6 separate regions of the Mus musculus genome follow, and all the other regions are reported to be linked to region 1. The links are microRNA targets in miRTarBase. Many come from high-throughput screens and were not tested one by one. Region 1 holds a microRNA gene; each other region holds the end of a gene's coding sequence.

The links. The annotated mature microRNA mmu-miR-17-5p reads CAAAGUGCUUACAGUGCAGGUAG and lies in region 1 at 2,207-2,229, opposite strand. An mRNA with a match to its seed (bases 2 to 7 or 8) in the 3' UTR can be bound and repressed. Matches are read on the target gene's strand: a 7mer-m8 pairs with bases 2 to 8, a 7mer-A1 pairs with bases 2 to 7 and ends in A, and an 8mer does both.
Region 2: the mRNA of Derl2 is a reported target of mmu-miR-17-5p. Seed matches in the 3' UTR shown: 8mer at 881-888.
Region 3: miRTarBase lists Fchsd2 as a target of mmu-miR-17-5p. Seed matches in the 3' UTR shown: 7mer-A1 at 1,392-1,398 and 7mer-A1 at 2,024-2,030.
Region 4: the mRNA of Amot is a reported target of mmu-miR-17-5p. The part of its 3' UTR that is shown has no 7-base or 8-base seed match.
Region 5: miRTarBase lists Tnrc6b as a target of mmu-miR-17-5p. Seed matches in the 3' UTR shown: 7mer-A1 at 996-1,002.
Region 6: the mRNA of Pum1 is a reported target of mmu-miR-17-5p. The part of its 3' UTR that is shown has no 7-base or 8-base seed match.

What each region holds. Positions count from the first base shown.
Region 1 is chr14:115,040,840-115,045,912 of GRCm38, reverse strand. It overlaps Mir17 (microRNA 17), which reads right to left and starts at 2,242; the gene lies at 2,159-2,242. Mir18 (microRNA 18) reads right to left here and starts at 2,062; the gene lies at 1,967-2,062. It overlaps Mir19a (microRNA 19a), which reads right to left and starts at 1,913; the gene lies at 1,832-1,913. Mir20a (microRNA 20a) reads right to left here and starts at 1,756; the gene lies at 1,650-1,756. It also overlaps Mir19b-1, Mir17hg and Mir92-1.
Region 2 is chr11:71,006,004-71,011,076 of GRCm38, reverse strand. Derl2 (Der1-like domain family, member 2) reads left to right here. Exons shown (of 7, transcript NM_033562.4): 7 at 651-3,637. The coding sequence ends at 756. Among named protein-coding and RNA genes, the nearest start is that of Dhx33, 4.1 kb to the right of the region's middle.
Region 3 is chr7:101,281,856-101,286,928 of GRCm38, forward strand. Fchsd2 (FCH and double SH3 domains 2) reads left to right here. Exons shown (of 20, transcript NM_001146010.1): 20 at 595-2,550. The coding sequence ends at 678. It also overlaps a transcript of Atg16l2 not described here. Among named protein-coding and RNA genes, the nearest start is that of Atg16l2, 18 kb to the right of the region's middle.
Region 4 is chrX:145,445,838-145,450,910 of GRCm38, reverse strand. Amot (angiomotin) reads left to right here. Exons shown (of 11, transcript NM_153319.3): 10 at 1-480; 11 at 813-4,487. The coding sequence ends at 910. Among named protein-coding and RNA genes, the nearest start is that of Amot, 39 kb to the left of the region's middle.
Region 5 is chr15:80,928,996-80,934,068 of GRCm38, forward strand. It overlaps Tnrc6b (trinucleotide repeat containing 6b), which reads left to right. Exons shown (of 25, transcript NM_144812.3): 25 at 94-5,073. The coding sequence ends at 481. Among named protein-coding and RNA genes, the nearest start is that of Mir5113, 8.5 kb to the right of the region's middle.
Region 6 is chr4:130,778,896-130,783,968 of GRCm38, forward strand. Pum1 (pumilio RNA-binding family member 1) reads left to right here. Exons shown (of 22, transcript NM_030722.3): 22 at 877-2,669. The coding sequence ends at 1,008. Gm12972 (a long non-coding RNA gene) reads left to right here and starts at 4,814. Exons shown (of 4, transcript XR_001784548.2): 1 at 4,814-5,073.

The DNA.
Region 1 (5,073 bases):
TTTGCCAACAGAGTTTTAGAGCAGACAGTCAGCAAAGCCCCCTGTGCGGAACTGAACAAGTGCGTTGCTGCGTGAAGCCCTTAGTGCAGAAAGCAGCTTAATTAAGGGAGGAGAGAGGAAAATCCTAGGAAAACTCCTCTTCACTACTAGGCCTCTAAGACACACATTCCTTACTAAAATTAAATCTCAATTTAAGTTCAAAACATTCTGAACACAATTACTACCACAAGCTCAGCATCCAAAGGTCCTAATTAAGACCTTATTAATTTTAAACTTCTAATTTAGTATATTGAAGAAAGTACCTGGCAGGCTTCCTATGTTGGAAGATAAACGTAGCATTCAATCCGTAACACTGGTGACAGACCCCTCCCTTTATAGGAGGCACATGGATCATGTGGATCGTGCTGACATTAGAGCTTTATCACGTTTTAAAGGAAGTTTTCATTAGTCATCTGAAACAAGTTTTAATCCAAAAATGTTAAGAATGGAGTCAGAAGTGACTATGTTTCTGTTTTAGTAATAATTGTACAATTCTGGTCACTCACAATCAAACCCAGGCCTGTGGAATCCTTACCTGGCAGCTCAGGGATCCATCAGTCAGCTTCTTGCATTTCTTTTAAAAAAAGCAACATATTATGGAAAACTTTAGCTCTGTAGATAGTGTCAGCTTAAACCTGATTTTAGCAGCTCTTCCTTATTAATTTTACTTTTCTTTAGGTTTCACTCCAATGATTTTTATTCATAGCCTGAAACCAACTGTGCTGCCCAAATGTAGAACTATATATTATATATACTGTTATCCTAAATACTAACTGCAGCTTCTCCAGACCCAGCACTCGAGTGTCATGTGTACCTGTCACTCTACTGACCATCAGTTTGCCATCTTTCCCTTGAGGGGGTCACATGGTAAGAACAGTCCAAGGATAGTTCTTTCTTACAGGGTGTGCACATTAACAGAGTGGCCACCACCTGTTAACTGTTAAGAACTCACGGATTAGGAATAATCTTATCAGAAAACACTCCATCTGAATTGTCACACTTTAATAAACAGAGATCCAAAGAAAGTAACATTTTTCTTAACTCATGTTAATGGGTTTTAGAGTAAAATAAACCTGAAGTCATACCAGGTTCAAAAGGCAGTTTAACTTCACCTAAGCCCCCACACACAACTTCTTACTAAATCCAGCGAGCAAACACGAAAATGAAATGATTCAGTAAAAACAAACCACAATTTAAAAACACAAATTTCAATTAAAAAAATCCCGTTTTACACACCAACGAAAGCAATAGAAATCACAGTTTACAGAATGTGTTCATACACTCCATCAGCTCGTGAACATTTTTACAGTGGAAATCGGCATCTTCAGCAATATTGTCATTTTCACATCTTCTGGTCACAATCCCCACCAAACTCAACAGGCCGGGACAAGTGCAATACCATACAGAGAAACACAGCATTGCGACAAATCCCAACCTGTGTAGAAAGGGGTTTGATTTTCCCTTACTTCTCTACAGACTTTTCACCACCACAGTCAGTTTTGCATGGATTTGCACAGCAGAATATTATACAGCTGGATGCAAACCTGCAAAACTAACCATAGACCAGTGCTCAATAACAGGACAGTTGGCTGGGCGATGGCCAGGCGAGGCTGGAGTTCTACAGCTGGCAGTACTTTAAGTGCTCGTAATGCAGTAGATGGCTACACACTACCTGCACTATAAGCACTTTAGTGCTACAGAAGCTGTCACATCACACACACCACGCAGGCTCTACATCGACACAATAAAAATACAAAATTAGTTTAAAAAAAAACAACACTTGAAGTAAATAGCAGGCCACCATCAGTTTTGCATAGATTTGCACAACTACATTCTTCTTGTAGTGCAACTATGCAAAACTAACAGAGGGCTGCAAACACAACTATGGAGAGACCCCTACATGCTTGCTTGACTTGGATTGGATGAGGACATAACTTCTTATGCCAGAAGGAGCACTTAGGGCAGTAGATGCTAGTCTACTTCACTATCTGCACTAGATGCACCTTAGAACAAAAAGCACGCAGCACCAGCAGGCCCTCCCCGCGACCGACTGACCGACGACTGGACGCAGCCAGTGCCGCCCGAGGCAGCGCCCACTGTGGCTCCCACCGAGGCAGCTGTCAGCATAATGCTACAAGTGCCCTCACTGCAGTAGATGCACACATCACTACCTGCACTGTAAGCACTTTGACATTATTCTGACTGGTCACAGCTTCAGTCCCAAGGTGAGGTTCACTTTATTCCTGCTAAATTTGAAATAAATAATTAGACAAAAAGGAAAAAGCCAAAGCTCTAAATTCTGTCACAAACATCAATTACAGCTTATACCCAAGGGGGGGAGGGGAGGAGCCAATAGCCAGAAGTTCCAAATTGGACACATGTAAGCCTTAAAAAAAAAAAAAAAACTCCTTAAAGAAATATAAGATACAATCCCATTAAAATGTTGGCTTTTACAGTAGGCTTCCCCAAAAAACACACAATAAGGGTCCTACAAAATGAGACCTGTTATCAGGAAGGCAGTCTGACTTGGTACTACCTTTAGAGGAAAGCCTCACATTGACCAGGCAGCAATCCCTTTCTTCTGTCCTCCACATTGTCAGATACTCGACAAGATTAATGATTATTGTTTAGTCATTTTCAAGTTTATTAGTCATAAAACATAAAAAAGTCTTAGTATCACCCCAAATTAGAAATACTCTATGACTCCAACTTGAAGGGTCTACAACTATTTGGTTAGTGTCCAAAAGCCACTGTAGATTTACTACGTTAAAATGTGGCTCACTCATTTATGACAAGAGTTCAAACTGTATTTATTTCATACCTTAAAAGACCAAGAATGTTGTACAAGCTCAAAGACAAAAGTGAAAACCAAAGGTCTCAAAAGAAGTTTTAGCTACAAAACTAGAATATACTCACCCACTCAGGCAAACTTCCTTCTCAGCAAGTATCCTTGGGCAATGCTTCGGGTGCTGCTAGGTCCACGTGTATGACTAGGGTTGGGGGTGGGGTGAAGACAGAGAAAGGGTAAGCACATTTGCTCAAAATTACTACCACTTTCCGAGCCCCATTCCAAGTTGCTCTTCTCTTAATCTTCCTAAGGGGCAATTCTATCCATTTGCCAAAAAAAAAAAAAAAAAAAAAAAAAAAGAGAGAGCCAGGACCACAAGGTCCTGAGGGCAACAATGTATTGGGTGGAAAACGCTGTAACAAAATAAAGTTGAAAACCCACCAAGATTCACATCCGTGCACGAATTAATGTGCCCCTGAAATACTGCAAGATGAGTAGCAGCAAGCCTGAACTCTACTGTCCAGCTCAAGCTAGAGAAAAAGGGCAACCAGGACTAGTCTTCACCACCCCTCCCCCAATCAGGACCTCGTGGCTGCACGCCGGGATAAAGAGTTGTTTCCCCAACTGCTGTGATCCTCGTGGCACGTTGCTCATTTTCTTCCCTCTGGTCACCTAAGAACCACGAGCCCTGCTGCGCTCTCCAGTTTTCTCCCCTCCGCGCCAGCTTATCAAGAGAAAACCGGACGGGAACACGGGATCCTGCCAAGTACCCGCCACGCTCATGGAGCCCGGGCCGGCAGCACATGTCGCACAAGGGGGCAGGCGGCCCTTGTGGGTTCCCCGCGCGGCCGCCAGGGGGCGGCAGGTCAGAGCCGGGCCGCGCTGCGCCGGACGCGGAGACTCCCCCCCCCCCCCAACCCCCGCCCGTTTCTGGGCGGCTGCGCGGCGAGCGGCGGCGCGGAGGCCCGAGCGTGGCGAGGCTCCGGACACGCCGGCCGTCCTTTGTGTCCCGCGCGCCCCCCGGCCAGGCTCCGGGGGAGGGAGGGGGGCGGACAGGGCGCTCGCCGCACGCGGCCCGAGGCCTAAGCCGGGAACAATCGGCGGCGGCGCGCAGTCGCCGCCATGTCCCCCCCCCCCCCGCCCTCGGCGCGCGCAGCCCGCCCCGCAGGAACATGGCGGCGGGGCCGCCGCTCCTGCCGAACCCGCCCGGCCCTCCCGCGCCGCGCTCGCAGCCAGCGCCCGTCCGGGGCTCCGCGCCGCCCCGAGGGCGGGCCGGGGCGTCCCGGGCCGCCCGGGCGGACCGCAGGGGTCGCCTCGCCCGCGAGGGGAGCTGCCCACGCGGCCGCACACAAAGCCCACGCGGAGCGCGGGGTGGCGCCCCGGCCCCGTCGCCCCGCAGCTCCCGCGTCCCGGAGCCCGGCCCGGCGCGCACAAAGTTTCGGGGACGCCGAGTGCCGCCCGCCCACGCCGCCCGCGCGCAGGTTCCTCGTGGGCGCGCCCCCTCCCGGCCCGCGGCCTGCCCCATGTGCCGCCGCCGCTTTGTTCTGGAGGCGCTTTAACTCTCGCCCCCGGGAGAAACTTTCCCCGCACGGCGGCCGCGCGCCCCGCCCGGCTCCCGCCGCTCCCGGGACGGCCGCCGGCCTCGTGCGAAGCCTCCCGAGGGCCATTGTGTGCGCCGGGCGGGCCTCTCCGGGGCCCGGGCCGCCGCCCCCTCGGGCCCCCTCCGGCCCGCGTGCGCGCCAGGACGGCCGCCCCACGCCGGCGCCCAACGGCCCGAGACCCACCCGGCCCGCGGCCCCCGCCCTCCCGCCCGTCCCGCCGCCGCCGCCGCTCCGCTTAGCGCACAACAGGTTTCCCTGAGCCGGCGGCGGGGCGGGCGCACTCACCGCAGCAGCCGCCACCATCTTCGCCAGCCTCCGCGCCACTCCGGCCCGAGGCCCCAGGCCGGGGGTGCGGCGTGGCCCGCCCGGCCCGGTCCGAGCTCGGGGCTCCGTGGAGAGGCACGGGCGGCGTGGGGGACCGTCCCCACCCCTCGGCCTCGCCGCAGGGCGCGAAGTGGCGCGAAGGCGCGGGCCGGGGCGGCGGCGGCGGCACCTCGAAGGACCATGTGGGTGAATGAAGGGCGGCGGCTCCCGCCTCAACGTAAATACGGACAAGCCCCACTCCCTCATTAGCATAAAAAACAAAGTACTTCCGACCTCCCCGCCCGCCCGCCAATCACCGCAGGCCCCGCCCACGGCGGCTCG
Region 2 (5,073 bases), not on the chromosome of region 1:
TCCAGGAAAGCCAGGGCTACACAGAGGAAACCATCTTGAAAAAGAAGAAAAGAAAAAAGAAATTACTTTTCCTTTATAAATGGCCTACGGGATTTTGGTGGCTGCATGCTAGTCCGGGGTTCCTATGACATAACATAAGTATACGCCTCCCTTGCTAATAGACATCGGCCTCAGTTACTGCTTCTCCTTCTCTACTTGGAGTGTTGGATGTCCTTGTAACTGAGTCCACACGCTCCAACATGGAAGTCACCGTCGTAGCCGTTGTAAAGTGAACAATTCAGTGGTGGTTCGTGAGTTTGTGTTGTGCTGCTATGGCCGTTTCCTTAGAAGGTTTTATCTTATAATCCTAAAACTCTGCCCATGATGTAATTCCCTATTTCTGTCATCCAGCAACCACCTTTCTTTTTATGTGCCTGTGAATTTGACTATCCAGGTACTCCATCAGCATTTATTGCTTCCATAGTAACAATTATTAATAAGGTAAATATTAATGCAAGTGTTAAATAAGTATAGCGCCTTTAAGGTATAGTACCTCTGTAGTTGGCAGGCAGGGACAATACTTACCTGTTTGTGGAAGCCCTATGGGTGCTGCTTTATCGTACGTCCAATCTAAGGGGGCTCTGGCACTGAATGGTCTCTGTGTGTTTTAGGAGGACTATTTTTGATACGCCAGATGAGGATCCCAATTACAACCCACTACCTGAAGAGCGGCCGGGAGGCTTCGCCTGGGGTGAGGGCCAGCGCCTTGGTGGGTAAAGCAGCGGTGCCAATTACGAGACCCATCTGAGAAAGACTCAGTGACATGTCCATGGGGGTCTTTTATCCCTTGTTGCAAAAGCGTGGACAGTTTTGACAGCTTGACAGATTTTTAACTCCAGAAGCACTTTACGGGATGGTACACTGACTAACATAGAAGACATTTCCAGGAGTTTGCCAGGGGTTCCTCACTATGCTGGTACTAAAAGTATAACCTCTTGGAGCCAAAAACTGGAGACCCAGGCACCCTGCCTGTGCCGTGAGCAAGTCCATGGGTACTTGAGCTCAGTGGCACAGGCGGGTGCTCCTCCTCCTCTTTGATAGACAAGGCCGTGGTGTAAATGGAAGTTACGGAGAGGACAAAATAAAACTGAATTCCATCTCTCTCACACTGTATTTAAGCTTTCGTGTGATCTTTTAAATCATGGTAGTGTGTTCTAGCTCTCCTGCGTATGTTTGAACACAGCAGTTTCCGTGCCTGCCCTCATGTCTCCACGGCTTTCAACTGGATTTCATTTCAAGATTGGAAATACACAGCTGCTATGTACATCTGACTAATTCTAGTTCAGAGTCTTAGCCTCTGGAGAGGGAAGATTGGTTTCTGCCATTCAGATAGTTCTCCATCTGAATACCATGAAGCTTCAAGTTTAGACCACAGGAGGAGGGAGAAGGGAGGGTAATTTCTTGTAGCCAAGGAATCTGACTGTAGAGAAGCCAGCTATAAACCAAAAGCAACTGTGATATCTCTTTGAGTTGGAGTTCCTCTACTAAGAAATACCCAGATTAGTAATGGCCACCCGTTGTCAAAGCACAGGAATAAGAATGGGCAGCATTGGGCATGTGTTCCTCTTGTCATTCATTTCAAGAAAAGCTCAAGACCCTTCCAGGGCCAAGGGCCTGGTTCACCTTCCCAGTCGGGCAGAAATCAGGGTCTTTGGAAGCAGCCACACTGATGGTTCAGAGTACTTATCAAAGATGGCACATCTTGTCTGACTCAACAGTTTTCCATTCATGCTGCTTTATCAGAGCTCAGAAAGATGGCCTCAGACAGTTTTCATAAATGTCAAAGAGGCACAGGACTTCCCAGGCTGGGTCATCCTGTTTAGGCTGAGTTGCTTTTCAGATGAGATTTTCTCAGAGGTTAGCATAGGCTTAAGTAAGCTCTAGTAAACATTCTAGGTGGAAAGTTTCAGATACATTTGAGGTAGAAAGTATTTTAATGACTAAGTGGAACTCGATAAGGAATGGAATGAGTACGGTACTAGTAAATCACTGAAGACCATTGTAACTCTATGGGACGTGGGCCAATGGGACTGCTTTTGTCTTGTTTAAAAATTTTTAACGTTTAATGACAATCTTAGATTGTATGATCCTTATGGGATTCTTAAGTTTGATAATTGTTTTTGTTCAAGAAGGCCTTGTCAGTAACTTTTAGGAATTTATTTTTATTATTATTGCTTGCTTTTAAGCCAGAAATGGGTTTCTTTAAGGTTTTATTTATTTTCCCTAAGTTAATTTTAGATTTAGCTAGTTCATGGAGTTATTGTGACCGATCTTTAATTCTAAAATCTCTCCACCAGCTATTTTCATTTTAAACAGTGAATACCTATACATATTAGTGACTGAAAACAGAAAATATATTTTGGATTATTGTTAGGGTGTGAATTCCTAGTGGTAGAACACCATGCTGTGTGACACACTGTCTCCTGGCAGTGCTGATTTCAGTCACTTGGCCTCTTAGTAGTTTGGCAGGTCCCTGGCCCTGTGTTGTTTGGCAAGATCCCTGTGCTCACTGGGACACAAGGGAAAGTCCTCACTTCCCCAGCCAACCTCTCAATTCCAATTCTTCCAAAACACACTTCCTTTTTGCGATATGAGTCAGCAGAAAAGTGAGATTGCATTATGGGATTCTGTGACCGCTTAAACTTACATGAATACAGTTTGAGCCATTTCCTGGATTGATTGTATCAGAAATATCCGAAAAGCACACCTAAAGCATAGGGCATTTTGTTTCGTTGTTACAGGAATACAGTATATGTTCATTTAAAAATGAATGGACATGCCAATTGCATCTCCATAGGAGATAGATTTTATATACTTTGGTGTGTTTTTTTCACTATGAATTTTTACTTGTTTCTTCCACTTCTTTTTCTGTCCCTCTGTGTCCTCCTGTCTTTTATATTTCTTTTGTACTTGCGTGAGGCAAAGCGTCCACATCCTGGATCTTGAAATGGAACCATAACACTGTCTCTAGAGTCCTCTGGGAGGAATTAGGAAACATTGGAGCTATTGGCATGTTGGCATAACATGCTTCCTAGAATTGTCATGCCTTCGGCCACTGTTTATTTTGTGGCTATAATTTCCTTTCTCGGGTGAGTTCTATCTGTGTTAGCTAAGATCCTGCCCTTCCATCCTCTCGGGATGACTAAACTACTTACTGTTTTGAGTTTGATTCAAGTTCTTGAACCTTGCTTGTCTCGTTCAGCCGCTCTGTTCCGAAGTCTGCAATCACGTCTTAGCCCTTATCAAATGCATATTTTGTGTCTTTTCTCTGAACCTTGCTCCTACTTCTCCCTTGCAGGAACGTCGATTTAAGTTTCTTCAAGACCTTGACACTAAACTCTTAAAACTAAGGCCTATTTCACTGTCTTCTTTAAATCCTTATGAAGCTTCAAATCTGTGCTAAAATTCCTATACCAAATCATATATTGTCTTGTACTGTTCTTAGCTGCTACATGTATGTTAGTTTTGTTCCCCTCATGAGAATGTAAGCTCCTTAAGGGCAGGGACTATGTCTTAATTTTTGTATCCACCACAGTGCCTAGCACTGTGCTTGGCACATGGGTGCTGAATAAATACTTTGTTTATTGATCAGCAAACTATTATCTTGTATTTTTAATTATGAAAGAATCGATGTGTATGTATCCAAACTTGGACCTGATTGCTAAGGTTTAATATTCTTTCTGGAAACAGGATGGAACAAAACTGACCTTGATTGAGGAGCAATGATTTGGTGGCCTTGCAATCGGAGGAGACCGTGAGCTGGTAGGGTCATGGTCGGACCAGGGAGTTACTTCGACAGACTTGGCCACCTCAGATAAGAGTGAAATGTGTCTGACAGATCATCTTTTGGAGGAATAATCAGAATATTCTTTTGAATGCTTAGTATGTGAGCTTCTCAATATGAAAGCCACTGAGCCACAAGAGAGTTTTTTGGAGGGGCAACAGATTTCAGACCGCCACTGAAGGGCAAGTGAGCAACATGCAGGGAAAGATTTAAGTTTCCAACTCTGATCATTTTACTGCTGAGTAAATGGGTTACCAGGAATGAGTTCCTTACAAAAGTGTTAGGTTTTATCTCCACCTTAAAAAAAAAAAACAAACAAACTCTGAGCCAATACTTTAAAAACACCAAAATTTTTGTTTTTCTTTTCTTGTTCTTAAAAAAAAAATGCTTGCATGATAACTGTTGCATATGATTAGTGAGTGCTTCTAGATAAGTGGACTTTGCGGGGGGGCGGGGGGGGGTGTCCGATGCCTCCAGAGGTAATAACACCACCAAGCCTAAAGACCAGATTTCAATCCCTAGGCCACCACATAGCAGGAGAGAAGCAACTGCCATGATTTGTTCTCTGACCTTCCCCCCGCTTCTCTCTTTCACTCACACACACACAATGTATGTTTTTTTAAAGAGGTGTTTTACTTACCAAGAGGTGATTTCACTCACTCAGATGGCCTATTTGGACTCCTGTAATTTATAATACTCCCACGTTGGGTTGCTTCGAATGTGCAGCTACCTATTATTTTGTTTACTCAAGGCCCATAACTTGACATAAGTTATTTTTCTTTTAAGGGTTTGCTTGCCTTCCTAAATCAACATGGGGGTGGGGGGAGGCGCGTGGAAAACATGTCAACTTATTCTTTGTAAGATTTGTTTTTACTATTTAAAATTACATGTACTTATATGTGTCTTTATATAGGTATGTGCACATAAGTTTGGGTTACCTTGAGGTTAGAGGTACGGGATCTTCTAGGGCAGGGGTTTCAGGAGATGGTGAGCTGCCTGGCATGGGTGTGAGGGAACAAATTTGAGTTCTCTCAACAGTGAGCATTCTTAACCCCAAGCCCTGTCTCCATTCCCAAGTCAGTACATTCTTCGTGTACATCCTAAACACACACATTTTTTAGTAACCCCTAGTGTACTGTCAGAAGCTAAATAAAAACTATAACTGGGATTTGGGGGTGTTTGTTTGCTTGTTTTTTTGCTTCTTAGATACATTTATTAAGGTCATATTGTAAATGTTATTTAGATAACTA
Region 3 (5,073 bases), not on the chromosome of region 1:
TCTCCTTTAACTTCTTTCTTCAGTGCTGGGAATTGAATCCAGAGCCTTGAGCCTGCTAAGCAAGCACTCTCACTGGGTTACATTTCCAGTCCCATGTTATTTGGTTTGGTTTGTTTTTTGAGACAAAAACCTCACTGTGTAGCCCAGGGCTGCCTCGATCTTTCTGCAGTTCTGCCTCTACTTCCTGCATGCTGGGATCACAAGTGTGTGCCACCCTGCCTGACTATCCTGGTTTCTTACTAAAACTTAATAAGGCCCTTCACTACCTGCCCCACCTCTCCAGCCTTGTTCCCCATGGCTGACCTTGGAGACATGATAGAGCAGTTCCAGTCCCCATACTGTGCCTTCTCTTTGCCACTCCCAGCTTTACTTTGGAGAAGTGTTTAGGACTACAGCAACTAGCATGCCTTGGTACCTCCAGCATAACAAGCAGTCTGACCTAGCATTTCATGCAGAATGGGGCCTGCTGTTCAGGGCAGTGAACACATTCCCAGGCCCTCAGGTGTCAGCGAACATCCAGAGGAGCATTGGAGCGTTCCACGTGCTAGCCTCTGAGTCAAGAGGCCGATAACCCTGTAATTGTCTCTTGCTCAGGTTCGGGCGGCGCCGCCACCACCCACACAGAACCACCGGCGGACAACTGAGAAGATGGAGGACGTGGAGATCACACTGGTGTGACAGTGGATTTACCTTCCGTTACTGCTACAATCAAGGCCAGGCTTGGAGTTTGGCCAGTCTCATTTTTTAGGCACCTTTGCATGATGATGACTCTTGAAAGGAGCAAAACCAAGGAGGATTCGATGGGACTGGTTGGCCTGATTGTGCCTTTTTTGTTGTCGTTTTTTATGTCATCTCTCCTACCATAGCACAAATCATAGCGGGTCCTAGAAGCAGAGGGGAGCAGCTCTCATGCCTTATAGTGGCCCATTTTTATATGAGACTCAAGGCCAGGCCTAGATCCAGGGCACAGACCCAGAATTACCAATTGTGTGAACTCGTACAGTATATTACTGTGGCCATGCACAGGGCTGTGGCAAAGATCTCATCTTTCCTCAAGTGGATTTTGCTCTTCTGATTGTTATTCAAATCAAGTTGACTGTGTAAGGAAATCCAGGAGAGGCTGGCTCCTCCCCAGGTTCATTCCCATACTGAAAATGCAACCTTATTGAGAAGAAAGTGGACTGCCTGAGCTTAGCGCCAATTGCATAATGCACATCTCTTCCTCAACTAACAGATTTAAAATAACAGTGTCCTTTGTATTAATATTTATGCCATTCATTTAGTATTAGTGGGCTAACCTGGAGGGGCTGAGGCCACATCTTTCCCATCACATAGACTAGAAGGGAGGCTAAGGAAGAAGCAGAAATGGAGCTTCCACATCTGAAATGAGCCACTTTAATGTTCCTTTTGTCTTTGGGTATGTTTCCTCTTGGTTTTTACAGTGTATACCCTCTGACCAGTATCCTTTGAATCCAAGTGTCTGGCTGCATTGAGGACAAAGGCCTACATTGCTCAGCTTCTCTACTGGAGAGGCCCTTATATTATTTTATTCCCAAGCCAGAGTATTGGCCTAGACATCTGGGTTGTGATTGGTGCAGACCAGCTGTCGCCTTCTGAAAGTACAGCTTCAGGTCCCACTGCCCTGACATTTGTCCAGAGTGAAGAATCTATGGGCCCTGGAGGAAGCCTGCTTTCTGTGGAAAGGATACAGGACTGTACACCTGCCCAGGTGAGACCAAGGAGGCTAGCACCTTCTGCAGGTCAGGGAAGAGCCTCATGGCGCCCTGGCCTCAGCCTAGAAGGTCAAGCACTCTGTGGACGGTAGATCTTGACCTAGGGAACAAAGCAATGCTTGCCAATCCTCTTTTACCTTGGCTGGGAAAAGAAATTTACAGATTTAAAGGTTGTATGATGCTTTGAAATTTCCATCCCTTCTGAGAATCTCTAAAAACTTGAAATGGTCACATGTCCCCGTGGGATTTTTGACTGATATCGGAGCTGAAGGGATTTTCAGTCATTTGATCACTTTAGCAATGATACTCTGATGAATCTTCTCCATGAATTTGGATTTTTGGTTTTTACATTTATCTGTTGATCTATTTGAGGTCTTTTTATGTTTATCAAACTTATTCTTAAGTTTAAAAAATTAAAAGGGTATTTTAAGATTTTCAAATTTGCTGATCTTCAAAGTGCTTATAATAGAGCAGTTCCTGCTACCAGTCCTGTATTCTGTTTAGCTAACCAAATTGTCCTTGGATTTGAGTTTCCCACAACCTCAGAGTTATTTGAACTCTTTTGTTATATTTTAAAATATTTTTTGGAAGAGCTGCTAATTTTATTTTAAGAAACAAAGTTGTAAAAATATGCCTCCTTTTTAAAAATAAATAAATAAATAACCCTTCTCTCCAGGCCGAATAACCCGGCGTCACCATGCACAGGTCAGGGCTCAAAGGGAGCCTCCGTGCAGGTGCGCTTTCTTTACAGTGGCTGTAAAAAGTTTGTATTTATTATGTATAAAATGTTGAATAATAAAAAATGAAATTAAGTTTTGCAAGTGTCCTGATAAAGAGTTGATTAGGCAGGCTTTGAGAGAGAGGATGCTTCTTGTGGGCCATCCTTAAACCACGTATCATGTGCCCAGAGCAGGAAGTGAGTCCACCCAGACATCACAGACCCTGATGCTATTCTTGTCCAGCAAGAGGGAAGAAAAGACAGGTCATGTATTTGAGGCCAAGACCATAAAACAAGGCATGCTGTGATCTAGTTACAGGCTGAGTCTCTCTGGCTTCCAGACAACCACAAGTCAAGGAGGAACCTTGGTGTTCCATTATGGGTTCTGGGTGGCCCCGCCTGTGCAATAAAACCTTTTACTCACTAAGCCATGGATGTGGAGGAACTCACAGATCCAGCACTTACCTGGGGCAGGGTTAAAACCTTTCCTGGCATTTTCCTGGGCATGTATTGTTTACTCTGCTTATTTAGAGCAGGATTAGATAATACTCTGGAGTTTATGTCATCTTTTTATTTACTTTCTTTCTTTGTTTTTGTCATTGTCTTTTTGATTATGTGTATGATATGTGAGTGCAAACATGTGTGTGTGCCACAGCACATTTGGGGATCAGGACAAATTTTGAGATGGCTCTCTGCACTTTGCCTAGGTGGGTCTTGTTTTTTTGCTGCGCTGTGCACCCTAACCTAGCTGGCTCTCATGTTCCTGCACCACCCATCTTATAGAAGTGCTAGGTTACAAATATGCAACACTGTAACCTGTTTTTTGTTGGTTTGTGTTCCCCCTGAGGGCTCTGTGGGTTGAACTCAGGTGGTCAAGCTTATACAGCAAAAGCTTTTACTGAGCCATCTTGCCAGCCATGTTTTTGTCATTCTTTTTGATGGCTGCATATTCCATTGTTTGGCTATATAATTAATGGTTCCTCTAGTGACGGGTATTTAAATAGTATCTAGCCATTTGCTTTTAGGAAATTGAAGCTAACATCATTGTATATACTTCTTTATAAATTTGTTAACAGTGTAAATGTAGAATTTGACAGAAAGGGTTAAATGTTTGCCAAATTGGCTCCAAAAGAACTGCATGAGTTTTTTACATTTCCATCAAAAGTACATGGAGCAACATGGACATAGAAGTCAGGTTTGGGTTAGTAAATCCTGCCTGAGCCACGTGGGGCAGCTACAAGGACTGATCCTGTGTCCTGCAGCCTGAGGAGAAGCCTTCATTCAGGAAGGAGACAAAGTATGTAGCAGAGGGTGGCATACAAACACCATCAACACTATCATCTCTCAGCCTTCAAGGTCTTCAGGAAGAAGGGTCTCCTTCCATCCCCTAGCCTCTTAGTAACCCACAGAAAGAATGGAGTTGGAAGTGCCATAGATCTAGAAGACTATAAGGATACATTTTGTGCAGTGAAAGCTCACTCTCAAGTCTGACACTAGTCTTTTTAATTTAGGCCAGAGTTTAGCCAGTTGTCCTACCTCAGTGCCATCCATGGTGATTTCCTTTGTCACAGGAGCTGACCAGACTGTCAAGCCACAGACTCATTGTTAATTCCCTGACCCCTACCTCTCTAAGCCCAGGCCCTAAGTCAAAGTCAATGCAGGATAGTACCTGGCTTTAGCCCTGCCACTACTTAATAGAACATCTTTTCCTCCCAGCTGCCACTACCCCATTTTTAGAAACGATGCAGTGAAGTGACTTTGATGGGCTTATCCAATTCTCTCCCTAGATCAGTTAGATACAGGAGAAAGAAAGAAAAGAAAAAGAAAAATTAAAAAAACAAGAAAATGAAAATTCAGATCCCTGGACTCATCCCCAGAGACAAGGCAGCCATTATGGTCTGTATTAGGATGCCACTCCTGGACCACACCAGTCATACTGTGCAAGGATTCCAGCCACAGCTTCAGGATTTGGTTCTAATTACTGCCCATCTCTGAGTAGCCTTAGGACAGTATCTGGCTGCAATGAGCCTCTGCATTTATTTAGTTTAAGTTGGATACACACACATACCACACACACAGTGTCAGAAATAAAACCAAATTACAGAAATTTTAGGTCAAGGGGAGAATAAACATTTTTCTTCCTGAAATCCTGCAACTTGACATAGCAAGTTTTGTTTCCTCCTGGGATTTTGCTGGGTTTGCTTTATAAAAGCATGAGCTGCCAAGAACTACGAGAACACCAAAGAGTGTCTTGTTCCTGGACTATTTTCCTTTGGATCAGTGGCCAAGAAAACACATAGGACTCCTTCATGTCTTTTCCTGAGAATGCTGTTCAAGGAACATGTTTCTGGAATGTTATCCTGAAGCATAATAGAGAAAACCTGTGAGTTAGGGTTCACAGGTTTATATGCCAGACACACCAGTAAGGGGCAGGGAAAGAACTGGGTGGAGACCCATGAACAACCTCTGCCGTGCATGGATTTGCCTGCCATAATCTAAGTCTCAGCCCTCAACTTCATCTTTAACTTGGAAGTGAGAAGATAATATAAACTGCCTCAGATCCAGGAAGATTTAGTAAGATGATGTACAAGTGAACTAAAGATAGTTACTAGTGGATATACT
Region 4 (5,073 bases), not on the chromosome of region 1:
CTGCAGCTACTTCTGTCTCTGCAGCTAATTCTATCTCTCCAGCTGCTCCTGTCGCTCCAGCTGCTGTAGTGCCTCCAGCTGCTCCTGTCTCTCCAGCTGCTGCTGTTCAGATTCCAGCTGCTGCATCTCTTACTCCTGCTACTGTTTCTCCAACTGCTGCCACTGCTACTGCTGCTGTTGCTGCAGCTACTACTGCTGCTATCACTGCTGCTGCTGCTGCTGCCACTACTGCTATTCAGGTTGCTCCAGCTACTTCGGCTCCGGTTCCATCTCCAGCTTCGATTCCGGCTCCAGCAACGGCTCAGGCTTCTGCTCCGACTCCGACTCAGGCATCAACTCCAGCTCCGACTGAACCTCCTAGTCCAGTTCCAACTCCAACTCCAGCTTTGGTTCAAACTGAGGGTCCTGCAAATCCAGGTGCCAGTTCCGGACCACGCCGCTTGTCTACACCAAATCTGATGTGCAACCCAGATAAGCCAGGTAATCACAATTTTCCGGAGCAGGTATCTTCTGGTTTTGTTCTCAGGTGTGCATCTATTAGTTGATGCCTGACCTTTTGACATAGTTAAATATTGCATGATCCAATTGGTCAGAGGAGAGAAAAGAAGAGGTTCTAAATCTGCCTTCTGTCATTCACTAAAAAGGGAGTGGTCAAGAGCAGAGGCCATTTTTCAGTAAAGTAAATGATGGGCATGTCTGTAGTTGCAAGTCACGTTTTAAAAATGAGTTCTGTTATGGTTCGCAACATTGATTTTTGAAAGGTACTTTTTACTTTGTGCCTAAGTCGTTTCTAACCCCTCCTTTCCATTTAGATGCCCCTGCTTTCCACTCCAGCACTCTGGAAAGAAAGACACCCATTCAGATCCTGGGGCAAGAGCCTGATGCAGAGATGGTGGAATATCTCATCTAAACAGCACAATCAAGAGCTGGCGTTATCAGCAAGAGTTCTTTTTAATAATTTTTCCCTTTCATTTGTTTAATCTGGGGTGAAGATAGGGTGGGGAGGTGGGGATGATTTTTCTAAAGGGACTTTTTATTGGACTCTGGTAGTACATAAGTAATACCATAGAAACGAATTCCAATCTATTTTGGAATACTTAGGGAGTACCTCAAAAAGATAGGTTAAGCAGAATGTGCTCTAAAGCTTACTGTTGGGCTTTGTACAACTCATGGACTATTAACCAGTAGTGATGTCCATTGATGTTTTGAATACGCTTCAAGTTGTTTTAAATTTCCCTATTTGAGGTCATTTTTCATTGAAGAATACAGTATGTGTAGAAGGCAGGTTGTAACATGGAGTTCCGAAGTGGAAATTCAGGGAGAGTTTGAGGACTTGCTACTTTGTCGGGTCTCTACCTAGACAACAGCCACAGAAAGCTCTGACTTTGGGCTTGAGGAAAGAAAGTGTTTTAGGAGCTATGGAAGCTAAAGAAAAGTTAGAGAGGATTGGGGTGAAGAAGGGTGCTGGAACCAATTTTTTCTCCCAGTTGCCAGTTATCCTGCCCCCTCATTGATGGTATTTCTCTCCATTTCAATGGTGCTTTGGAAGTGGATTCTTTTGGTTTCCTCCTGGAGGTTGATACATTCATATATATACTGTGGAATAATTTATGCATTTGGATAATTAATATATTGCTTTCAGATGGTAGGAAGGTAAATGAACAGTGATCCATGACTGCCTCTCTCATAGGGGATTAGATGTTAGAGGCCTTGATAAAAGGCTGCATGAGATGCTGCATGCAGACTTTTGTGATCTGGGTATAGTCATGACCATGGCTCAGTCACCTTAAATTAGTCCTGGTGACTGGCATAGCCTTTCCCCACCCATAATGCAGATTCGCTGGCTGCTTTGCCAATATTTGTTTACCAGTAGTTTGCAAGATAAGGAAACATCGTTGTTGACAGGTTGAATGTGTTGAATTTCTGGCAAATACTTGGAAATATTTCTCTTTTTTTTTCCCAAATCTTTAGCATGTGCCTTCAAAGGCATATGCAACTGTCACCTCCAAGGAAATCACATAAGAAATCCAAAGTACCAGGCTGCAGTCATGATCAAGGTTGATTGCAGCAATCTCCTCAACTACCTCTTCTCATTACCAGTGACTCCATCTTGGAATCCCTTTGGGAAGCAGCTAGGAATGTATATATGGGCGGGACCAACATGGGGCCTTGCCACAGAGCTGCCTCCAAGGACACAGAAGGTGTCAGTTGTCACAGGTCCTTGTCCTTTGTCTCTGCCCTTCATTGAGGCAATAGAACTACAGATAGTACCATTAAGATGAGTTTTCAGGGGTCTAGGGAAGTTAAGGGTGGGAGGGTATTAGGTAAGGGAGATAGACGTTTAGAGATGTGTTAAGTTAGAAATCAGATTGATGCAAGTGTATCCTGTATTATGCCATGGGCTATAGTGATGGGGAGGAACTTTACTTAGCAATGTAGCATTAAGTTTAGTGATGAGGAATCTGAGAGTTGGAAAAGTTCACTGACTTTTTCAAGATCACACAGCACATCTCTCTGTTCTGCCAACTACATACCCATTTGGCAAATGATTATAAAAAAGAAGACTCTGTTTTAAAGAAAGGACATCTTCATAGTCTAGGGCGTACCTATGTTATGAAAATATTCTTGGTGTGAATAGATTGATTAGGTGTCTGAATTCTTATCTTGTCTCTGCTGGAGTGCCTTGTGTGAGACTGGATTTTTTCCTCATCCCATTTAATCATTGAGCTACATGAAATGCACCCATAAAGAAAAGTCAACCCATCTGTTTTTCACTATAAAATCGGGTGTCTTGGGTCATTTTATGTATTCCTCTGTGAGTATAAGAGTGCTATATTTACCTGTATTCTTGTGTAGTTCCTAATTACCTTCCAAAAGATTTATGTGTGTGTTTGTGTGTGTGTGTCTGTCTGTCTGTCTGTCTGTCTGTCTGTCTGTAGATGAGGGAAGGCAATTCAACAACTTTTAACTAGTATCTTTTTCACATTTTTAATAGCAAAGTGATCATCCAATGTATTGGTCCTCAGTTACAGAGTGAATGACAAATAGACAATTAAAAGTGCAAGGAAATAAACCCCTTCAGACAGTAGAAGAATCAGGCAGCAAACACCAGGAGAGCTACTTTCTGTCCAAGCAAATGAATGAAAATCAAAGAAACTTCATGTCCTCTCATGATGAAAACTCATTGATAGAATTTGGGCTGACTCTGGGAGCCATTATTATAATCACATACTCTAAAGTGATAGATGAAATGAATTCCTCACTGTGGCAACCATCGCTTTAGAGTCATGTGTTTGGGGAGAAAAGGAAGTCCTTGCTGAAGTATGAACTTTCCAGAACCTTTGTGCCCTGTCACATAAGAGGCACTCCTTCTCTTCAGTTTTCTGTCCCAGGAAATTTGCTAGAAGGACATTGTGTGTCTAAGACATGGAAGAAGACTATATTGGTATAGTCTGTATAGACTCCACCATTTGAGAAAAATTTCTACCACATACCAGTTAAAAAATTCAGTATATGGGATGAATCTCGAATTAACCTTGCCTTCACAGTTGTGTGGATGTAACATTTCAGGCCTTTTCCTGGACTTCCCAGAAGAGGAGGGAATATTTCTTGTCTTAACTTTTACTGTCTAGTTGTCTATGAGGATCTTATAATTCATTTTGTTATCCCCAATGTCCCATGTCCAGCAAAATTTCATTTGAGGGAACTATACTTGATACAAAACTATTAACATTGTTGAGGAAGTAATTTAACTTCCTTTGAAAGTCATGTATTGTGACTGTTGTCTTAATGAAGGTTTTAATTTCAGTGTTGCTTTTGAGCTGCAGGGTGACGGGGCAGTAGAAACTTGAAACATCTGCCATCATCCATGGCAGGAAACATAGCAAGATGTTCTCTTTTTACTTTTGCACTGTTGAGTGGGTCTAACAAACTGATTTCCCAGCTAGTTTTTAAAATGAAGAATCTAAATAATGTGGCAGCTTAAAGTATAGATGTATGTGCTAACTTGAATAAATGCTCATGTCTGTTAGCCATACAGTCTGTTATCTTACATCCTCATTCATACATGGATTATGTTACTTAAGATATGTTCCTTCTTACAGAAAATATTTTCAAAGGGAACTATTCACTGTGGGTTCATTGTCACTGATTTCTGCCTGCCACAATCTTCAGAAATTCTTCTCTCATGTGCCACCCATTGACAGTAGGACAAGGGTTGGAAATACATTTTCTTCTGGTGGTAAGGGTGGGTGACAAGACGTTTTCAAATCCTTCTGGCCTCCTTTGCGATCGATGGCATGTGTTTAATAAGATGGCTAGATGGGACTGGCAGATTGTTCAAGAAGAATTACTTTTGGCTTAATGTACATGGTCTTGTAGTGATTGTGATCCTATTCTGTAATCAAGAGAGTTAGATCAAATAAAGTTAAGCAGGTTAAATCCACTTTGTGCCTATCTTTCAATAAAGTTAGCCATTTTAAAATGCAGCACTGTGTGGAAAATGCTTTGGTGTTTACTGGCTTTGTGTGATGTTAATAATTACTTTCAAGACAGTGGAACTGTCTTGCACCAGCAGCAGAATTTGCATTTGTTCAAAGTGTGGGATGAGATTAAAACATCTTCAGACAATAGAGCAGGCCACATGCTCTAATCAGTCATTTTATATACAAATAAGAGCTTTGCACCTTTTTGTTTCCTGGTTCTGAAGGGTAAAATGATGGGCATCCAAAGCAGAAAACTAATTTTGGGGTTAGCGTTTTGGAAGCACTCCCCATTTGGTATCTCTTTTCTATAACAGTAGTAGTTATGTCAATTAATTTTAGATGTGGTATGGGCTTACAAAGGCCAGTCACATCTATGCATATATTGACAACACTAAGAAGAGCAAGAACACAAGAAAAACAAGAACACTGAAGGTGGGAGGGAAACAGGTGGTGGGGAAGAGTTGGAAGTTGGGGAGATGGGGTGGATTTGATCAAAACACTGTAGTCATATATGAAATTAAGTAATAAAGATTAAAATAATAAGGGAAAACCCACAGTTTTTTGGAGTTGGGCATTCATTAAAAATGAT
Region 5 (5,073 bases), not on the chromosome of region 1:
CACAGTAGCAGAGGGCTGACAGCTGTACACCACCCCACCCCCACCCCCTTGCTGGCGATCCCTCGGATCACGTGACTCTTCTCCTTTCTGTAGGTGTGTGTTGGGAAACACTACCATCCTGGCCGAGTTTGCCACTGAGGATGAAGTCAGCCGCTTTCTGGCTCAAGCTCAGCCCCCTACGCCTGCAGCCACCCCGAGTGCACCTGCCACAGGGTGGCAGTCCCTGGAGACCAGCCAGAACCAAGCAGACCCCGTTGGACCTGCGCTGAACCTTTTCGGTGGGTCCACCGGGCTCGGGCAGTGGAGCAGCAGCGCTGGTGGCAGCAGTGGGGCCGATCTTGCCGGCACTTCCTTGTGGGGCCCCCCAAACTATTCTTCTAGCTTGTGGGGAGTCCCGACGGTGGAAGATCCCCATAGGATGGGCAGCCCTGCTCCTTTACTACCTGGTGACCTTCTGGGAGGAGGGTCGGATTCAATCTGAACTTAAACTTTCAACTCTGACCTCGTGACCTTTTTTGGAACAGCAGCAGCACTAACTTGACCTTTTCGTTTTTTTTTTCAACTTGCAATAAATACATTTTTAAAAGGAAAAAAGAAAACGGAGAGAGAAAAAAGGTGGGTCATTGACAGACTGTCTGAGCACATAGTTGCCTCCCTTAAAACTTCAGTTTTTTCGTTTGGAATATGAATCCAAAAAGAGAACATATCACTCTTGAAATACTTGAATCATGAACGCCAACCTAGAAAGACAATGTGAAGCAAGTACACATACCATTTAAATTTAAACACAAAAAAATTAAAAAAATTAGTTTCTAGTTTTTCACTTTTTTCATGTTATATGGAAGTTGTTGCTAAGAAACATATATACTGAAAAAATAGCTTTTTAACTTTGTTTGCACTGGGTGTGTTTCCGTCCTTAGGTCTACCATGTTTGGGTGGGAGGGAAATTCAAAAGAATTGTTGGGGGAGGGGGGAGGGAAGACTTGACGGAGCCTCACTTTAAAAACAAAAACAAAAAAACTTAAAAAAAAAAAAAAGGTAAAATTTTGTGATTGGCTGGTTGATAAATACCAGTGTGTTCTGGCACATGTAACTGCCCAGGCATGCTCGTTCTGGTATGTGTGTGCACGTGTGTTCATGTGCATTTGCGTGCATCCTCCTCTCTGTCTCTCTTCGTGTGCCTGCGTCCTGCCCTCCTCGTCCTGCCTCGCCCCGCCCCACCCCCACCCTGATTTCTCAGAAAGCTGCATTGCTGACAGTTCCAAAGGCTGGCTGGCCGGCCATCCGCTTTTCATTATTTCTGACTATGAGAACACAGGAGCACAGGGAGCCGCTGCAACTCAAGCCACTTCTTCTGGCTGCCTCGAGATGAAGGGTGCTTTTCAGTGACAGAGCAGCAGCCAGAATGCGGGGGGGGGGGGGGGGGGGGGGGGGCGGGGAGGTCCCCAGCTTCTGTCGACCCAGCTGCAGAGCAGAGCACTGCCAAGGCCAGAGGTGTGACAGAAGGCCCCTCCCTCCAAGAAGCTGCTGCTCACCTCTGTGCTGTGAAGTAAGCAGCTGCCTGCCCGGCAGCAGGAGTCTAAGGACTGAGCTGGCCAGTTGGCTACTTTGAGTGAGAACAGACGATTCAATAATTTTTAAATCGTGTGATGTTTTAAAAGCTGAAAAACAGTTCCCACTTTGCTGTGCTCGTCGGGTGTGAGAATTTTTTGAAAGGATTCAGGTAATGCAAATTCAATTACTTCTATCAGTTCTCATTATCATGTGAGGAAGACAGTAAGTTATGAGCAGCCTCCTGGAAGCATCGCAGCGCCTCCCTCTCTGCTCCCCTCTCTCTCTCTCTCGCTGAGCATTACCTGTGCCAGGCCGTGGCGTGTTACAGCACCAGGCCATCACTGACAGAAACGTTTACTTAACGAATGTTCTTAAACCAGTGTGTACTTCAAGTGTCTCCCTTTGTTTCTCTGTGTTGTTTCCTGTGTATGTGGTTTTGCTTAGGCAGAAATAACTTAGCAAAGTATTGCACCTTGTTTTGGTTTTGACCTCTTTTTTTTTTTTTTCTTTCCTTGTAATGTTGGTTTTTTTATTTTGGTATTTAAAGACTTTTTTAAAAAAACATCAATGTAGTAGTTCTCTGGGCCGAACAGGAGGCAATGTTTAATCCACAGTTATCACCAATACGTATGTACTATGTTGGAATCAAAATATATCAAATTTCTTATTGTGAAGAGAGTGAAAGTAAACCCGAAGGGGATCCTCACGTGCTAAATAGATGGCGGGCGGGCGGGCGGGCGGGCGGGCGGGCGGGCGTGATGTGTGCGGGGAACATGCTAGCACTTGTGTGATATCCCAGTCTGCATCGTACTGTCTGTTCAACATGAAGTGCCGACATTCTGTACCAGCAATTACCTGCCCATTCCAACCCCTGACGGGAGCAGACCTCTGCTGTCCTCTGTGACTTGCTGCTATTGAGGACAAGGGAGTTTTTCTTTCTTTAGCATCTTCAGTGAAGGATACAACAATGCCTAATGTATTTAACTTTCAGCTTGTGTCTTTGGTGTAGGTGGGTAGAGGGGTATGGATAGGAAAAAGCAAACAGACAAACAAAAAACCCAAAATTGCATGTAAGTGGCTTTGTAAGACAGTGAGTGGGAAATTCTGTAGTCGTCTTGGCTTACCTTGTTGGGTATAAACCTAGCTTCAGAGGAGGCTGACGGGGCACCATTCCCATGAGCACCTGTGCTTAACAATCTGGGCGCCCTTGGCAGGTGGGTAGGCAAATGAGCGTGCAGTTCTGGTTTGTTCCTGCAACACCTTGTTCTCATGGACTCTGCCTTCCTCCTGCTCTCTGGTTTCCATCACCACCACCCCCTCTCACCTCTGCCCTGCAAAATGTCTCCTTCCAGCCCCACTGACTCTCAGTGTTGGAGCAGAGCTCTGTCGCAGGTGATGACGTCCAGGTGAAGCGCCGCTTATATTCAGACATCTGCAGACTGAAGGCTGAACTTTAGTGTCCCCAGACTCCTGGGAGCCTGTGGGGACTGTCCACTGCCGCTCTTGGTTCATGGCCCTGCCTATCCTCTCCTCTGCCCCTGCTCCTCTTTCTGCCTGTTGGGTCCTTGACCTGCACTATGGCTTAGTTGAGTTCCTTACGATACTACGGTGAAAGCCGGGTGCTAGAGCCCCTCTTGTTTACAAGACATAAATGAGGGATTTGAAATATGTAAAAATAAGCATGAGAAGCTAAAATGTTCTTCCATCATAAGCTTAAAGGGAAAAAAACTAAAAACTTAAAAAAAAAAAAAAGACCAAAAAGTGCGTGTGTGTGTGTGTGTGTGTGTGTATATATATATATATGTGTGTGTATATATATATACATATATATATATATATGTATGTACATATATATATGCACATACACACATACATATAAATATATATTTTAGATGAAGACTAACTCTGGGAGCATTTAACAGTGTTTTTGTTTTTTATTTTTAACATTATTTTCCTGCTTTAAAATTTGCAAGCATTCTCAGGAATTCTAGGGTAGGAAGCCAGTTTTTTGAAGATGGTTTATTTAATTGTATCTTATCCTAGATAGACAGCTGTTTCTTTCCTGTTAGTAAACTTTTACAAGTTCCTGAAACTTCAAAAAGTTTAAACGATTTTTACTTATAAAAATGTAAAAAGAAAAGTCTCCAAACGTTATTATCATACAGGGGATCACACATTTTAAAATACATAGAAATATTTTTTAAAAATTACCAATTTAGCAGCAACAGGTAAATTCATTATCTTAACAACTGTGGGAGAAGGCTCAGCCATTCTGAGTGTTGTCACCGCCTTGCTTGACATTGTGCATGGCTTACTGGGGGGGTGACTGTTGAGCTCGTAGGAGTGACACCACATTGTTCCTTCTGTATGAGGCTGGACTGACGTCTCCCCGTCATGTTTCTGTTCTCCAGTGCAGCCCTTCTTCTCCCTGGCTCTCCAGCCCCATCAACAAAAGCAAGGAATAAAGAAAGAAACAGTAGCTTAAGCAAAAGGATCGGCTCTAAACTGTGGCAGTGCGGTTGCTGGATTGCTGAGAATCTCTGTAAAGAGTTAGGAAATATAGGTTAATAATTTTTTAAACGAATTTTAAATATGAGCATTACTAAAGGAAAATTACCTATGGACTGTTCTGTTGGTGAAAAGTGTGTGTTTCGCCTCCCATCTGTTACAGGAGGAGGAAACAGAAGAGTCTAATAAGGAACAAGTGGTTTTACTTTTCATTTTTTATTTAGCTCCCAGCTACTGTTTGCTTGTTTTAAATGCTGTTTTGAAGATCTGCTGCTTACTCCCCCCATCCTGGGAGGCAGAGATGTGGAGTGTTTCCTTTTGATTTGGGTGATGTTGAATTCTGCTTTTGTATTCCCTCCTGGGGCCAGAGGTCTTGGCCACAGCTTCTTTCAAACTTTAAGCTTCCCAGTGGGAAAGAAACTCCAGCTCCACAGGTAAAGTGAATGGGTGGGGTTGTTGCCTGCATTCTCTAAAACCGCTTTAGTGCCTTCGTACATACACCGACATCCTAAGCAGGGGATGCGTGTGCGTGTGCATGTGGTCCAGTCACTCCACGGTCCACGGTCGGTATGATGCTTGCCTGTAAAGGAAATTGGAGTGGTTCTGGACAGGCCCCAAAGGCAGTGGGCTAAATCAAAATAAACATTGAGGAAGTTAAATACATTGTTTTGTCTCGATAATGCGGGATGCCAAGTTCCTTCCTATGTTGTGTGCCCTCCATAGGTGCTGACCTCTCCATGTGTAGAAGGGTGACAGTTAACAGCCATGGGGAAAGTCTTTTTGTGCCGGGCCAGTGGAGGAAGGCTCCTGCTTCTCAGCTCCTGTTTCTGTCTTCTCTCTGCCTCTCCCCTTCACCCATTTGTCATCTTGCTGGAAGCTTTTGTGATTGATAGGCAATGACCTAAGAAGAGGATGTGGTGAGGGGTACCCTGTCTACTAAGACATTAGGCGACTTTGTCCTACATGGAAAAGTTCAGTAAGCATATATTTCCAGCCGATCCTGGCATATAT
Region 6 (5,073 bases), not on the chromosome of region 1:
CAAATAGTGCTTTTTTGTCTGTACTGCTAGCAACATTATCTTAAAGCTCCCACAGAAGCCCACTAAGCTCTGAGCATACGGTGGCTTTTCCAGCCCAAACTTCAGGTGCTACCACAATCCTCCTTAGCACTCCCAGCACTACTGACCTGGTACCAAGTTATGTCTTAGGGTTTCTGTTGCTGTTGTGAACAACACCAAAAGCAGCTGAGCAGGAAGGGATTTGTTTCATCTTACAGTTTTTCCATCATCCAAGGCAGGCAGGGCAGGAAGCTCTGGCACTGGCTGATTCAGAAGTCACGGGGACTGCTGCTTCTTGGCTTGGTCCCAGTAGTTTGCTCAGCCTGCTTTCTTAGAGCACCCAGAACCACCCGCACATGGTGGTACCACTCACATCAATCATCAAACAAGAAAATGCGTCACAGGCTTGTCCACACACAGCCCAATTAGGTGGGGGCATTTTCTCAATTGAGGTTTCCTCTACCATAATGAGTCTAACTTGTAAAGTTGATGTAAAAACTAGCCAGTGCAATTGGTCACTGTTAACTGGAAGAAATCCTGTGCCCTGGCGAGGCAGGGATCTGGTGGTGAGTTCAGACATCTGGTTCCCCAAAGGAAGCCCCAACTGTCAGGACAACCTGGTTTTCTACGTGCAGCTGGCTGGCATAGGCTATTCTGTCATGGTTCTCTGTCCTTTGTCAGTGCTTAGGGCAAGAGCTCCCGTCTTTACCTCGTGGCTTGCTAGCAATAAGAGGACAGGAGTACCTTTCGGGATGAAGCACTATATATGTACACTGTATATTCTGTGTCTGGGTCTGTCTGGGAAGGGTCTGGAGGTGCCTCTCCAGCCAAGAGTAATACCCACACTGTCCTCTCCAGATCCGGCCACACATTGCGACGCTTCGAAAGTACACCTATGGCAAGCACATCCTGGCCAAGCTCGAGAAGTACTACATGAAGAATGGCGTGGACTTGGGGCCCATTTGTGGTCCCCCTAATGGTATCATCTGAACAGTGCACCCACGTCCCTGTCCCGCTGACCTCACTGACCCTGGCAGATCCAACCAGCAACCAGAGGTGCCCAGCTCAGCGTCGGAAGTGGGCAACGGTTGCTCCGGGATTGCTCCCTCCTCCAAAAAACAGAATCAGATCCACTTGTGGAAAGGCCTTTGTAAATTTCATTTTATTACACATAACATGTACTAATTATTTTTTTTAATTGACTAATTGCCCTGCTGTTTACTGGTGTATAGGAACTTGTACATAGGTAATCAGTGTACATGGGAGGCCACATGCTTTGTTCAATGTTGTATCTATATTCCACATGTGGACACTTTCAGGGTGGTTGGTTTAACAAAAAAAGTTAAAAAAAAAGACAAAAAAAGGTTTTTAACTCATTTGCCTTGTGGCAAGTTTTGCAAATAGCTCTTCCCCACCTCCTCATTTTATTATTAAAAAAAAAAAACCTGAGAAATTTGAATTTTAGTTAAATGATCTCAAACTGGCATTTAACACTGTTTATAAAATATATATATATATACATATATACATATATGAAATGGGAACGTTTCAGAGTTGCTAGAGCATCAGCCTGTGATATGGAGTTTATGACGCTCTTTTTTTGGAGATGACCTCGTGCTGAGGGAGGTGGTAGCTGCAGATCCAGGAGGAGCGGGGACCCCAGAGGCCCAAGGCCAGTGGGCATGGCCACTTGCTGCCTGTGGTTGCCTGTGTGAACACTGGGAAGCAGGATCTGACTGTTTAGCATGAGAGAATACCCAGCTCGGCCCTGGTCTGGCTTCTATAGATACATAGTGTATACTTGTGTAGACTTTGCATATATACGGATTTGTAGTATTTTCCTGTTTTGATGTCTAATCTGTATCTATAATGTACCCTAGTAGTCGGACATACTTTTGATTGTACAATTGTACATTTGTATACCTGTAATGTAAATGTGGAGGAGTTTGATCAACACGAACACGTTTTTGGTAAGAAGAGAATCAGCCAGCCCGTGCACTCTGTATATCCCACCTTTTATGGTCGTAGCAGATAGTGTTGTATATTGTAAATTGTAATTTCAACCAGAAGTAAATTTTTTTCTTTTGAAGGAATAAATGTTCTTTATACAGCCTAGTTAATGTTTAAAAAGGAAAAAAAAATAGCTTGGTTTATTTGTCAGCTAGTCAAGACGGTAGTGAGAGCCTTTCTAAATGTTACTTCAGATGCTTCAGTTCACACTAGTGTCCCCCCCCCCCCTTTTTTTTTAATCCTAAAAAAGGTAATGTTTCGCTTATTTTGTGACAGTCAAAAAGGATGTGCAGAAGTTTCGCCTGCCCCCTCCCTGCTCAGCGCCACCCCTTGTAAAGTGACTCGCCCTCCGTTTTGTACAGATGAGCTGTATTTTGCATTTTGTCTACTTGTAAGTGAATGTAACATACTGTCAACCCTCGTTTGAATATAGACTGTAACACTACACGGTGTACATTTCCAGAGCCTTGTGTATATTTCCAATGAACTTTTTGCAAGCACACTTGTAACCATATGTGTATAATTAACAAACCTGTGTATGCTTATGCCTGGGCAACTATTTTTTGTAACTCTTGTGTAGATTGTCTCTAAACAATGTGTGATCTTTATTTTGAAAAAAATACAGAACTTTGGAATCTGAATTTGTACTGCTCTCACTTCTCAAACCTGCTCAGGCAAGCCCTGCTCTAGCCTGCCTCTGCCTCTGCCTCTGCTCCAGCCTGCCTCTGCAGCTGCTCAGATGGAGAAGAAGGGTGGAGGAGTAGAGTGGGGTTGGGGTTTCAAGCTGATGGCTTCTCAGCCTAATTTGTCCTGAGAGGTTGAGTTCAGTTTGCCTCATGTCTGATTTCGAAGTGATAGTCTTTTCCTGGGGATGAACACACACGAGATGGGTGAATTTTTACTGGGTCACTAACAAGGGGTCACTCACAGCTGCATCACAGAGCAGCCTCTCTTTTCCCCAGCCCATGCTGTAACCTGAGGCTCTCTGCAGAACATGTAAGCAGTTGCACAGTCGAGCCTTGTATAAAAGCTGGGGAGATAACCTTGAGAATCTTCAGTTTTTGCTTTCCTAAATGTGAGCTTTTGTTCACCACCTGAGTCTCATGAACCTCCCCTCCTGGGAAGGACTGTTTCCGTTCAGAGAAAATTGCCAGACAAGCGTGATGTGGTGGCTTCAAGTCCAGCAGAGGGAGGCAGATCTCTAGAGTTCCTGGCCAGCCTGGTCTATTAGATCGAGTTCTTGGACAGCCTGGGCTACACAGAGACCCTTGTCTTGAAAACTAGAAGATTGAGAGAGGGAAGGAAGTACCCAGCTTGCTCAGAAATCCTCAATGTGGGTCTCCTGCACCTCTTTGCAAGTCTGTGCCTGTGGCTGACTGCCCTGTCCTGCTGACCATCCTGCGGGGTTTTCATTTTGGCTTCTGGCATTTTTGGCATTGGGAAGTATTCTTTCTGAGACTGATAGTCCCATAGCTGGGAATGCCCACTCAGGCTATTCAGTGTCTAGCTTGCTCTGATTACCCTCAGATTGAGAGCCCCTGGGCTCACAGTAGCTCCTGTTCTCAGGATGTCCACCCTTCCTCCACCCAGCTGTTAGTCAAGAGTCACCTTTGGCAAAAATTGACAAAGGTTTAGCCAGAAAGACCAGAGAACCTGAAATTTCACCTGGCCTCCTGCTTGTTGGGGCCTCTAGTCAATAATATGCCATCGAGGCCTCCTGGACAGAAAGGAGAAGTGATGGTTTCCAGTTGAAGGCCTGATTCTGCTTTAACAGTTGGGAGTTGGGCGGTGCCCTGGCCTTGCCTGTTGGGACTTCCCAGAGCAGGGATATGCTGAGGGGAGGTGGCTAGTGGCTGGGGTCTGTGTTTGGGACATCCAGGGACTCTCATTACCCTCTGCATTTGCTTGTAGTTGCTTGATTTTGGTTCCATTAGCATTTCAGTGGAGAAGCACCTGTGTGGAAGCCCTGCTGGAAAGGGGATGGTCTCTAGTTTCAAGCCTTTCGTGTGTCAGGATTAAATGGTGCTTTTAATCCTCACCTGCCCCTGAGACCCAATTCTCTGTAAAAGGGGAAACTACCAGAATACTAATAAGTACTTTCAGAAGGAGTTGTGTAGATTGAGATTTTGTAACCGAGTAGTGCCCAATGCATTATGTAACAAGCAACGTTTGCATGTTCCCTGTTTATGGTTGGAGACTTCATTTTAATAGCTTCTAGTTATAAGACTATCCACAGCCTCTTCTCCCCCCCCCCCCACCCACCCACCCACTTGGTGGCTACGCACACAGAACAGGAACTATCTTAAGAACCCAGAAGCCTGTCATCAACCCTAAGAGAGGCAAAGGCAGGAGGATGGAGGGTCTGGCCTTAAGCTACAGTAACACGAGTGTCTCAGAAGTAGAAAAACAAAGCCAACTGAGCCAGTGCATATTTATAAATCCCAACACTTGGGAGACAAGATGTTTAGGAATTCCAAGATCATCTTGGCCACACAGTGAGCCAGAGTGACTGCATGAGATCCCGTCGGGGAAGGTTTGGGAAGGATGCTTGATTGTTCCACGGCACAGTCCAGAGGACCTTTGTCTGTCCACCTTTACCTTCCAGGCTTTTGGAGGCAGGTTTTATTTTGCTGATTCTGTCTCTTCTTCCCATCATATGGTGGGTACATCTGGCTTTACATGGGCTTTATCCTCACATTTGGGTGGCAAGTGCTTTACACTGAATATCCCAGCCTGAGACCCGTCTTAAACAAAAACAAACCCAGGAGACGAAACCTGTTTTTTTTTTTTTTTTTTTTTTTTTTTTTTTGATTAAAGAAGTCTGTCCAATGCAATTCACTGGACACGAACTCCGCTGACATGGGAAGGCCCACTCCAGATCCATAAGCCAAGGTTCCACATTCAGATGAGACACTTCGTGATATCCTCCCTCCGCAGGGCTGTTTGATGGGGCAAGCTGGGCTCCCAGGCTGTGTCCACCCCTCATCCTTGAGCCAACCAGGAGGGAGTCCACGGATGTTTCAGCTCATATAGCAGAAGAGATGA